Linked DNA regions of Daphnia pulex. The protein of the gene in region 3 purifies or fractionates together with the protein of the main gene of each other region. This does not show direct contact. Links are inferred from orthologs where the notes say so. Each region holds a gene or a part of one and is shown on either strand. Other genes may lie near its edges. The genes, in order: erythroid differentiation-related factor 1-like, protein HGH1 homolog and tetratricopeptide repeat protein 4-like.

What was found.
Region 1: the proteins of tetratricopeptide repeat protein 4-like (region 3) and erythroid differentiation-related factor 1-like purify together in Homo sapiens (affinity purification with mass spectrometry; 3 studies listed by BioGRID and IntAct, counting the BioPlex papers as one, with this or other methods). This does not show direct contact. The link is inferred for Daphnia pulex from reciprocal best matches to the Homo sapiens genes TTC4 and EDRF1.
Region 2: the proteins of tetratricopeptide repeat protein 4-like (region 3) and protein HGH1 homolog purify together in Homo sapiens (co-immunoprecipitation; 4 studies listed by BioGRID and IntAct, counting the BioPlex papers as one, with this or other methods). This does not show direct contact. The link is inferred for Daphnia pulex from reciprocal best matches to the Homo sapiens genes TTC4 and HGH1.

Annotation. Positions count from the first base shown.
Region 1 is NC_060026.1:4,183,445-4,187,556, forward strand, and holds the start of erythroid differentiation-related factor 1-like, read right to left. Parts: upstream 2,940-4,112; 5' UTR 2,589-2,939; coding exon 1,881-2,588; intron 1,817-1,880; coding exon 1,641-1,816; intron 1,570-1,640; coding exon 1,508-1,569; intron 1,438-1,507; coding exon 1,402-1,437; intron 1,337-1,401; coding exon 1,175-1,336; intron 1,089-1,174; coding exon 977-1,088; intron 916-976; coding exon 807-915; intron 739-806; coding exon 596-738; intron 523-595; coding exon 361-522; intron 303-360; coding exon 204-302; intron 133-203; coding exon 1-132. UniProt on the Homo sapiens protein: Transcription factor involved in erythroid differentiation. Involved in transcriptional activation of the globin gene.
Region 2 is NC_060022.1:5,339,398-5,342,683, reverse strand, and holds protein HGH1 homolog, read right to left. Parts: upstream 2,011-3,286; 5' UTR 1,942-2,010; coding exon 1,857-1,941; intron 1,792-1,856; coding exon 1,368-1,791; intron 1,295-1,367; coding exon 1,173-1,294; intron 1,107-1,172; coding exon 916-1,106; intron 856-915; coding exon 722-855; intron 656-721; coding exon 559-655; 3' UTR 514-558; downstream 1-513. Other genes in the region: bromodomain-containing protein DDB_G0270170-like, read left to right, coding at 1-198.
Region 3 is NC_060022.1:2,730,219-2,734,610, reverse strand, and holds the start of tetratricopeptide repeat protein 4-like, read left to right. Parts: upstream 1-1,474; 5' UTR 1,475-1,604; intron 1,605-2,221; exon of another isoform or gene 2,222-2,317; intron 2,318-3,884; exon of another isoform or gene 3,885-3,887; 5' UTR 3,888-4,046; exon of another isoform or gene 4,047-4,111; 5' UTR 4,112-4,194; intron 4,195-4,281; 5' UTR 4,282-4,392. Other genes in the region: crustacean hyperglycemic hormone-like, read right to left, coding at 391-674.

The DNA.
Region 1 (4,112 bases), on a different chromosome or scaffold from region 3:
GAAGGGCTGGTTTTTCGGGCTTCATCGGCTAGTGTTACGTAAGCCAAACGGCATTTCTCCATCAATAGTCGCCAATACTGTTGCTTCCACTCGTTTTGTGGTTCCTTGAACATCAGTGAGCCAGTGACACCACTAGATCACAAAGATAATTATTAGTCAGACATGTGGGGAGAAACTACTTGAAGATCAATTAAATTAATTACTCGAGAGGAGGTTGTTTTAATGTCTGATATGGCATCGGAATGGGTTTCAATGGTGTGGCCAAGGAGGGTTCTTCTTCAGATGGTTTTGTAGTTTTCCCCCTATTTATGGAAAATAAATATTATGTCATTCCCAATTCAGATATTTGGTTTAACTCACTTGTTGCTGAGGAATTCAAGGGCTTCAACTGCGTGCTGAAGAGCAAAGGTGCAGCGCTGTTCCCAATTATCTCCAACGGTGGGTCGCGCATTTCTACGAACGTTCTCTTCCTCTGCCTGGACCTGTTGCGGAGTCGAAAGTGCCGCCACGTCGACAGATGCACTGTGAAGCAAAATTTTAAAGAGGTGAATTATTTAAAATGTTTCAACTGTTTGTTACGACACAATAAAATTACGAGAAGTGATCTTCCGTTGAGGGTTCCTCCCATTCGTCAGACCATTCCTCTTCGACCTCTTCAGAAGTATCTTCGGCTTCTGGAACTTTGAGTGATGTTGGCAAATAGACGTCAGATAAATAGTACAAAGCAGACGTGGCGACCTAAAAAATACGCATTGAACCTGACATTTAAAAAAAAACCAAGAAATATTATTAAAAAATATTGCTACCTGTGGATATTTGGTTGCATCAAGAAGGGATAAGCAGTTCTTTAAAAGAGCTAAGACAGTGCCTTGATGTCGCTTCCAGTCGCTGGACATTTTCAAATTTCGCGCCACTCTAAAAAAACACATACGCATTCATTAAACAATTTACAATTCGCATTGGCAAACAATTTTACTTGAAAAGTAGCATGGCAACTGGTGTCGTAAATGGATTCTGGTTGATGTCTTCATTCAAATCATTGCACAACGAAGTAAGATCGTAAAGCTTCACAATATCATCGTCTTTTGCTGTTTCACGATGAAGACACGAAAAATTTAATGTGAGATCTTAATTTGAATAATTTCCTTGATTGCTTAAGTAAAAATTATTTTACCTTTGAACAGCCAATAAGTGTGGCCGGCTTTTGTGGCTTTAGACTTTAGGAAAGAGAGAATGTTTTGTGCGACATCTTTAATAATACCCGGCTTAAACTGCGATCCCGGTAGGCGTGGTAAATCGTCCGTTTTAATAAGCTCGTATTTTTGGACCAGACCACCTGTAACCATTAAAAGAATTTAACAACAATTTTTCCAGTTTTTCACGTAGCGCGACGCTATTTACCCAAATGATAGCACATCACAACTTCAGGAACATTGCCTACAAATATAATCATTAAAAAACTCGGTTACAAGATGTTAAACAAAGAAATAGCAGGTATATGACATACACATCAAGTTGTCAAGCCAGTAGTCCAGTCCTGTTAGCACATTAATTGGCTTCGACATATCTCTGATCAATTGACAAAATAAAAGAATTATTCATTTTAGCTATCAAGTAAATTTGCTTGACTTAAGGCTTACCTTAAGCGAAGCGAAAGACACGGGTGAGTCCCACCGCCAAAAATAGGCATATCTGTACCAATTAACATCCGCAAATCTTCAAATGTCCATATGATATTTTTAGAAAACTGGGGAAGAGCATCATCGTGAACATGACTTTCTTCTGGAACAGGATCACCAAGAGGATCAATTACAGGCTGGAAAAGACTTGTGTTACTAAGAATTCAAATTATAAGCACTTTAAATAGTACACAATTTTACCTGAACTTGATGATTCCTGTCCTGAACTTGGGTGTCTGCATTTTCTGACTCATTAAGGGCTATACTGTGATAGAGAAATTTTGAGATGAGGTTTTGTTGCTGCAGGTAGTCGCGACTGTGCCGGCTGGATTTCTTGTCTGAGGCTTTTTGCTTAGCACGACAGGAGGCAAAAATGTGTTCCAAATAAAACTTCTTCAGCCAACCCCATTCGTTTTCAGCTGCTCTCAGAAGGTGAGTGTGGATGTCAAATTCATCGAGCAGCAGTGTGTTTCCAACACGATGAACCATCATACTGACAGCACTTTTGCTGTACGGTATCTTCAGAAGCTTCTTGATATTTTCTGCATCACTCACCACATCAACTTCACCCATGGAATCTAAAAAAGATGAAGCCATGTGAAAACTGGCAAATTCTGTTGACTTTGGATTCCTGGAAACAGCTGGCCCAACTATCTTCTTAGGATGACTTAGCAACCAATTAGCTGGTGGTGTGTTCAAGTCGGTGTTGCTCTGTAATAAAGATAATCGTGGAGGAATACTGACTGTCGAATGCAAATCAAAAGCAAATGATTTGATTCTCTTTCCTTCGTTTTCATGTTCAGAATCTTTGCTAAGAAGTGGACGATAAATATCAATCGTCAAATCGTTCGCAGGGCTACTCATCTGCAATGTTCTCTCCTTTTCGTCGTCCTCTTCGCACGACTCCATAATGTCAACTAAAAAAAAACGACACCCGACACTGCGGGAGAACTCAATCAACACGTTTTTCCAGTCAATTCCAGCACTTTCGAAGGATCAAAACAGTCGGGTAATAATAACAGATGCCTCTTCTTGCTAGGCTGACTGCTATTATTAGACGTCAAGTTGGCGTGAAGCTTTCTTCTAGAATGCTCATTCCTAGTAGTTTTATTTGATTGTCTTACTGGCAAACGAGTAATCATGTTTGTTAATGCAGGGAATAATAATAATTAGTAGAACAAATATCCGTTGTTATGTACTGCGAATATCTACAAGCCACCAGGGGATGTTGGTTCCGTTTGTTTTACAACCAAAAGTTCCAAACTGCTGCGTTGAGGCCGAGGCGGGGACTATGAACAGCGCAATCGCTATAGAACTCACCGGTTTTTTCCTGGACGGAAAACTCCGGCGGAGCAGTGAATAGTGTAACATCTCCACAGTCGGTACACTCATGTTGCACAGTACCGACAACGAGAAACACGCCTCCAGTTTTCCTTGTGTTACCTCCTCCCATTGATTGAACTCGAAAAAAAAATTATTAACAACACATTTACGTCATGATTCACCGACTTCGTCGTCAATTGGCCAGTTGAGAGGTAAGTTAATATGGTAAACTTGCCTGGATTCCGTCCAAAATTTTCGTTTCTTTTCCTCTCTATCTCTCTCGCCTCTTTTTTACTGATTCTAACAAATCAACCGACGCTCATCAATTAGTCCGTCTATTTGCCAGGAAGCGTAGAAAAGGGTGGAGGGGGGCACCTATACCACTGTGTTGACGAGCTACGTTACCTAATTAAGAACTCGGGAGAAAAAACAGAAAAAAATATGACAGGAAGCAACAGCCAAAAAACAAAATAGCAGACGGCCTTGGTGAGAGCATCCGACTGGATCGTTGAATGCGGAGACTTTCAATCTTCCGGCATTATGCGGCATCAGCCAGGGAGAGAGGTGGTCCCGCCGAGATGGCTGGAACGCATGGCCATTAATAAAAGTTCAGTCTCTTGGAAAGCCATTCTAATCAGAGTGAGTGCCTTGAGAAGTCTATACGTCATAGGATCGACGTTGCGTGTCCTTCACGTCGACTTTTCTGTCAAGTGCAGCAGAGAACGGACACAGGAGTGCGTGGGAGGAGGGCGGTCAATTCACGACACGATCAAGCGCGGCCAAAAAACCGATTGAACTAAACTCCTTAGGAAAATCAAGGTAGTAGTTGTACAATATACACACACACAAGTTAAGACAAGCATATCGACCTCCCCGAGCTCTCTCCCACTTTGTGATGATTTCGTTTTATCTATCGATTGAGAAAAAACGGAATGGGCGAATGAAAAACTCGGAACTTGTTAGATGTGGCACGAGAGGGGGTCACGCTGGATGGCAAAAAGAATAGGTCGTGCGCCCTTTATTTTCTGTTCTTTCCGCCCCGCCGAGTCCAATCGTCCCCCCCCCCCCCTTTGATACCTCCTGTGTGTCTGTGTGTGTATATACGTGAGG
Region 2 (3,286 bases), about 2.6 Mb from region 3:
GCCATGTTTTCGAATATCAAGCTTAACCAAACAACCGATATTGTCATTGACGATAGCGAAGTTACTGAAGATACCGCCTCGGAGCTCTCAACTGATGACGCTTACAGCTCGATGCATTATCGAGGCGCAGCCCGGAATACTAAGAATGGGTTCTCGAAACGAAGTGAATTAGAGAATTCGCTTGGTTATTTACCATAAACATGGGCCACGAACATGTTTTTTCCTTTTTTTTTTAATGGCTAAATGCTTAACCCCATTTCAAGATATTAATTCTTCTTCCTTCTTACAAAAAAAAAGGCAATAAAAAATGGGAATGGTGTAATATTGAACAGGGCCTCCCGCATCTCTACGGCTGAGTATAGAGACGTCGATGAGGAGCGGTTTAATCTATTTATCGAAAGCGAGTAAGGACAAAAAAAATAAAAAATAATAATAACAAAGTGTTTAACTATAGCCATTAAGAAATTATATGAAGTGTACAGTGTTAATCTTTTTGTCTCTGAACTCAATAAATAACAAGATAAACCATAGTTTATTGGTGTGCTCTTATAAAGCGGATCACAAAGCGGGCTCTAAAGCATTAAATTTTTCAGTAATTTCTTCGGGCACTTCAACTTCTTTCTTGAGATTGTCGTAACCGATTTCGTGCTCAAACCTAAAATTTTTTATGGATCTAATTATTAACTGCGTCATGAAAAAATAATTACAGACTATATAATACCTAATCACAATGTTGACCAAATGTTCAAGAACCGCTAAAACATTGTCGTTCTTTTCCCATTTGTGAAGTTCACGCAAGATGACGTAAGTGTTTTTGGAGCGCAGGTATTCACGCCCATATTTTGTGGCACATAACTTTTTAAAACATTTGCTAAGTCTTTTAATAAACTCTACTCAAGGACGTAATAATGGTACCTGAGTTAGAGCCTCCAAAAGCATTTTACGGATGTCGGGGTCTTGCTCTCTGGTTTTCTCTTCGCCCAAATATTGCAAATCGATAGGTAGTTTATCATTATCTTCTTCATCAAATTCCTCAGGGCCAGCTAGAGGCAGTAGTAGTTTTGGGAGTAAATCAACTGCATCACTCAATAAAAAGTCATGGTGGTCTGCATTTGAAGGTTAGAATTAATTTGTAGGTTTGTACAACAGTTTACTTTTGACAAACATCTTACCAGTTTCAAAACAACAGTTCTTTATAAGTCCGAGAATACCTCCTCTTCTTGTAGTGGAATCTTTGTAATCTGTGAAAGAAACTAACCTCTGAAGACAAGTTCTTGATGGATCTAATATGTAACTAGAAAAAAGGTAGTAAAATTGTAAAAAAAAAAAAAAAATAATTTTGTCAAAAAGTACTTTGGTTTGAATACCTTCTAACTGCTGGAATTTGACTCAAATTGGAAAATACAGCTGCAAGGTAGTGGAGACGGGCACCTTTTTTATTGTATTTTTCTTGACAGAAAATGTCAATGTATTTTTCTAATTTTTCTCCCATAGTCTGGAATAGCCTTTCACTTCCAAGTTTTGTCCGTGAAAGGTTTGACAACACCATGCAAGCAGGGTCTGCAAGTTCGTGTTCTGGATTGGTGATGATGTTCAACATGTTTTCGATAATTTCAGTTCCTTCTGTAACTAGGGTTGACGTCAAATCTTCATCGGCAGACAGATTGATGAGAGCTAAACTAGCATCTTTCGCAACAGATTTCTGATAATCATTCAGAAGTTTACATAAATTTTTGACAACACAGGTTGTGTTAATCAACATTTGCCTTCCATCTGCTGTTCCTGTCAATCCTTTATGATACACGCATAATACAAAAAATAAATACTTATTAATACTACAATATTTGGATAAATACCTAGCGTCTGTTGAAGAGCTAGAGCTTTAACATCTAGTCGCGTTTCTAGCGTAAGAAATTGAGATAATTCTTCGATTTCCGACATTTTACATCAACAATTCCATATGAACTACATGTGCCGAACGACGTTTCAAACAACAGCAGACGATTTCTATATACGTGATTTCAAATCTGACATCTAGATGGCGTAGGCGCATTACTTATCATTTTTAGTTTTGACTGGCTTGTGTCAGTGACGGTTGAATCCACGTTATTTCAAAATGTAAAACAAAATTGCGAAAAACCCAAAGACCAAAGGGCAAATGCAAAATAGCTATTGAGTGACCCCGCTTCTTAAATGGCTATCGTTGAACATCGTGCAAGTTTTTCTCGTAAATTTACGATATATTCGATCCCAGCATTGAAACGGCTTGCAATGTAAATATAAGTGTTTTCGTCGATTTCGTTGGTATGAAACTATCCTCATCTGTTTCTGCGTCTTTTAGATTGCAAAGGATGATAAGAAGTTACAACCGCTGTTGTAAGAAATCCATCAACAAACAGGAAACCCTCTCAGAGTCGCAGAGTGAAATGTATCACCATAAAAGTAACCATTTCGTTTGCAATGGCAACCTTGGACTAGTGTAGTGGTTCATCCAAACATGGCGGCCCCCTAAAAAATCCAAGTCCGTGTGGTAAACATTTGATGCTGGTATGATTAAAAGGCTATCAAATCATTAATCGAAACCGATCCTGGAGCATGTACGCCACCAGTCAACTATTGGTAAGTTTGTAACCTTGATTATTCTCTTATTTATATCTAGTGTGTGCAAGATTAGAGGGTGGCGTCTTACCCGTACGGTTCATTTAAGCTCTAAAATTTATGTACATTTATTCGCCGACCTTGATAGTTTTTTCTTTTTGCGAACCAGTCACGTTTTTCCTTCACGTGCTATGAATAGATAGATTCCCTACACAAGCATTTCTTCTTCTTTTTTTGCCAAAATGTCCGACATCCCTCGCCATTTTAAACACAAGTCAAAGGCAATAAAGCATTCTCGCCATATTTGTCTGTATGGAATAAATAATCGTTTGCAGATGCAGATTTGCATAAGCAAAACCCCACGTCAAGCTCATCAAATAGTCCTTGATATGAAATGTTACCCCATCACTAGTTGATTTCGACTTGGGAAGTCCTTTTTGCTTTAACTCCCTTTTCTTGTCGTTCGTGAGCTCTTGTCTTTGGTTTTGCTAGCAGACGCTTCTTTGTTTGGGCGAAAATTTCAAAAAATCTTGACAGGGACTCTATCGCTAAAACGCCAAAACTTAAAAACCCATCAATATTGATCACATGGATTTGAAGTACACGACTATGGCGAGCATGGCTTGAGCTTCGGACTATCGGATTATCTGATTGGCATGTGTGCGCTTTTAACTTGGACAGTCCCCCC
Region 3 (4,392 bases):
TAAGCTAAAACGGATGCCACGAATAATTTGCCGGTTATTAAACATATGCCGAAAAGCAAAGATGGACTGGCAAACCAGCTGCTGAAGGATGGCTAATTATACCTGGACAGTATGCCCTCTTTTAAATTGGAATCTGGTGAATGATTGAAATATCCTTCATCACTCTTTGAATGTCTTTTTCATCGTTGATGAGCAAGGCATCTAAGCAGCCCTTGAAATAGTTGGTGGTGAAACAATTCTTCCTAATAACAGAGTTGCAACACACTTGCGTTATAGTTAATAATCTTACAGTCGTAACAAATGAATGTGTGTTGAATCTTTGTTCGATAAATGTTGCAAGTTCAATTAAGGACAAAATTAAACGGCGAGAAAAAACAAAAACTAATTTACCTGCACAGTGTGTGAAGCTCGGGTTCGCGATAGAGACTGTAGCAATCCTGGCAAATGCGGTCGAGACGAGCAAAAATGCTTTTGTCGTATAGCCCCTTGCAATTGATATCGAAGAAAGAGCGTTTTGACAAGGAGTGATGACCGCTAGATAAAGCAGACATGGCCGATGTTGGATAATACGGAAGAATGGCAAGCAAAACCACCAATAAAGTGGTTAGGCCCAAAAGAGATCGAATGGAGTAGGAACTGTGTGTTTGGCGTCCGTTCTGCTGCACTGCGGCCATGGTTTTCTTCGTTCTCCTAGAGCTTTTTCGATCTGTGAAAACAAATGATCCAGCTATTTAGAGCGGCTCAAATAGTCGGATGGGGAGTAACAGGAGAAAATTTTGCAACCTCTTCCTCCCTTTCTTATGAGTTTGCATCATTCTATTGAAGGACAAATGTACCCTCCTCTATTAGGGAAAGAGGAAAAGGCTAGTAACTATGGGGGAGGATATGTTCTCGATCAAGTTTGTGTTATACATAGCTATTGTAAAAACAGGATTAAATTGAGCTTCCACTTTTCACTGAGTGGCCAACTGATTTCGGCTAGTGCGATGCTAATTTAATTTTTAGAGTTACACAAATTCCATGGAGAAGTATGTAGTTAGGGGGTACTTTCAAATTGGAGAAAACGCGGTGCAACGGAACCGGAACAGAACACAACGAATGAACTAAACCAATTAGGGGAATACTGAAAAGGGGGTGTAGCATATATGACAATACGACAATCGGTTATACTTTACCCCCTTTATTTTCTATTTTTTCCCTCGTTTTGTTTGATTTCTCTTCCCTTGGACATCTAGCGGTGGAAATTAGATACTATAAATAGCACATATGATTTGATAATACATGCACGAATTCTTGGGAGTCCTTGATCTTTTTTCACATCTTTCGTGTTTTTTGACCGATGAAATCATTGGTATAAAAAGACAATCACGCAGCATGGAAATATTATATGAATTTGGTGACGATTTCCATACAAGTCCCTTCTCTTAGTTTAATTGTATTCCGTTACGCCACGTTGTCGCCAGTGTGGCGACCACCTTCAAAATTTGCTTCTCGCCTGATCGCCAGTCGTCATCTCTCCTACCGAACCAACAAGTTGTGCACGATCAAACAGTTTATTGGGACCGTTAATCGGTTCGAAATCAATATGGACACCTCAATTTTGGGTAAGTTAAATCCTCTATTTGATTGTATTTTTCTTCTCTGTTTGACTGTGGTCTGAGACAGCTATTCTACTCTGGGTAATAGTATTGAAATCGTTTGTGAACAAAAATTCTGGTTGAGAAATGTAGCCAAAAGTAAATAGTTGAAAACAAACTAATATTATTTCCCAATTGTTAAATTCTTGTTAGTTCTTCTCAGAAAAAAGCCAGCTGTTAAATTCTTGTCAGTTGTTGTCAGAGAAGAGCCAGAAAAGCTCATCAATCGACGATTAGATCAGAACACGAATTCGTATTCCAAAAGTTAATCTATTATTAAGAAAATTGTGACTCGCGTCACTCATTGGCGACAGATTGTGCCACTACTACATATTTAACTAGAAAAATTTGATTGTAGACTAAGCCGTCAAAAAGGCGCTTCCGGTTGCATTAACTTTCTTATTTGCAGAATTTTCTGTTTACCTTTGTTAATTTCGCAAATCCTTCGCTTGCACGTGGGATTTCTTGATTTCTTTGATTTCTCGAAAGGGAACTGACACTCTTTGTTGTTCAAAGTAAAGGAAGTATTTTAAAACTGTAAGAATACTGAGTAATCACGAGAATAACCTCCACTTTTATACTAGGCGTGCGTAGGTGAGTCACGTGATTCTGCCCCCCGGTGATCCGATGGATTACAGCCCTTTCTTACCTGGTTATTCCCATTCACCATGTTATTGTCGGTAGAGAGAACTCCTCCTCATATTTTTCCGCCTCCTTCTTTCTTTCTCTCTGCTCTATACTCAAGCGTAAAACATTTTGTTTTTATCACAAGTCACGTTTTGATGGCGTTTGTATATGACGCAACAGGTTTTTATCAATTAAAATGCCTCTTTAGATAGCTAATAGATAGCTGCTAAAACAATAACATTGGGTGTTTAACATTCCAAATCTGCATTGGGGTTGAATCTGATCAGACAGAGCCCAGGTCAGTAATTATAACAGACTCGAATTTCTATATGTGGCAAAGTAGAATAAAGGGCGATGGCTCTAGTTTAATCTGACGGTACCCACATAGCGAGACTTACCCTAGTCTTTATTCTCAATCCTCGGCCCTTATCAAAATTCTGAATATTTAAAACCATATAGTCTCCCGCTTTCGATTTCCTGCTGCGAATGTGTCATATTCACGTTTAAATAGGTGACAAAGTAACTGTTCTTATTCATATTGCCTTGTATAGTTGCTAATACTAAATCACCCGCCTCGGATTTGCTGCTAGATCGGCCTCATTTCTAGATATTATAATGTGTCTAGCTGATAAGCCTTTGGGTTAGTTTGATTTCACAGAAAAAAAAGAGGACGTGAAAAATCAAAATTCAGAAAACCGATGTGTTGTTTGTTTTGTTACGACTTCTTGAAATACTATGTTAGTTAATATTATACGGCTTTAATGAAACCTGTTAGATAAGTTAACGAGAGACACCCTTATTATTTTCTGGCCTTTACCAGAAGAAAGCGACTTCCAAAGTGCATTGTCATACCCAAAAACCTTTGGTCATCACACTATTCGAGGGAAACTGAAATTAGGAAACTGAAATTGCTTCAAGCATTACGTGATCGTCATCTTGGGAATCCTGTGGATACGTGAATGGAAAACGTGTTGGCGTGCTGACGCAAGATAAAAGAACCTTTAAGTTCCTCTATTCTTATGGGGTGGAATTCCCAGGTGTCCTCTGTCAAGTTACAAAACCCATTGTTGCGCAACAAGCCGAGAGTTATTATTTTGTATTTCCCACACGACACTGGACTTATTTTATGGATAGACTGAAGCCGAGGGTCATAGAACATCAAAACGCGTTACAATCTCCGTACAATCAACACTAATGGCAAAAATGAACGCCCTGATTATTTCCGTGACCAAATTATCGTTTCAAATAGTATCAAATTTTAAACAGGAAAAATAGCGTAAATCTAGAGTGATCTAGAGTAAAATTCAAGTTGAGTATTCGAACGAAGCAAAATGCTATGTGAAAGTTTTCTCTTCAATGTATCAAGGTTTAATTTTTACCGAAATTGAAATGTGCAAAAAAAAATTCCGCTATCAGGAATGAGATGGGGTAACTACGACGAACAACTGAAATTACTAACATGCCATTTTTACATTGCAAAATTATGAAAGAACTCTTTTTTTTAGAAATTCAAAATGACATTTCAAGTAAAACTATAAAATTTTGCCATAACAATACCATCTACTCTGCTATACCATAAGCTTTTAACAGAAAATGACAAATATAAATTTCTTTATTTACCAGATGAGGAAAGGAGGTGAGTAGATCGCACGAGGTTCCCGTACCGGATGATGTAGGCGCACACTCTGATACTCTTCGGATGCTGGATGGACTTTATATAGTGACGAAGGGACAGACGAGTTGCTATGGTGTACAAGGAGTAGCAACAAGCAGACTCAATTGGTGAAATCATCTTTGTAAACGACCAGTATGTGCCATAGATTCAAATAGCTGGGTGAATTCTATAGCTGATTCGTCTTCTTTGGAGAAATGGAGTAGAATAATTCGCGATGTTTCCAACGGCAGCAGCGATCTTAAGCTTAAATTGCAAGTAACCACCTTCTTAAATTTCCTTCTTCTATCCTCTATTGATTTTCAGTAGCCTAACACTTAACCTTTTTCATTTATTTACGCTCAGGAAACTAGTTTAGCATCCTAATACAGAGGAAGAAAGTGAATGTGCCAACATAATTAGAAGCTGTTAAGTTAAACAACGTCGAAGTTTATGAAGTCTGGGATTGTGTCGTCA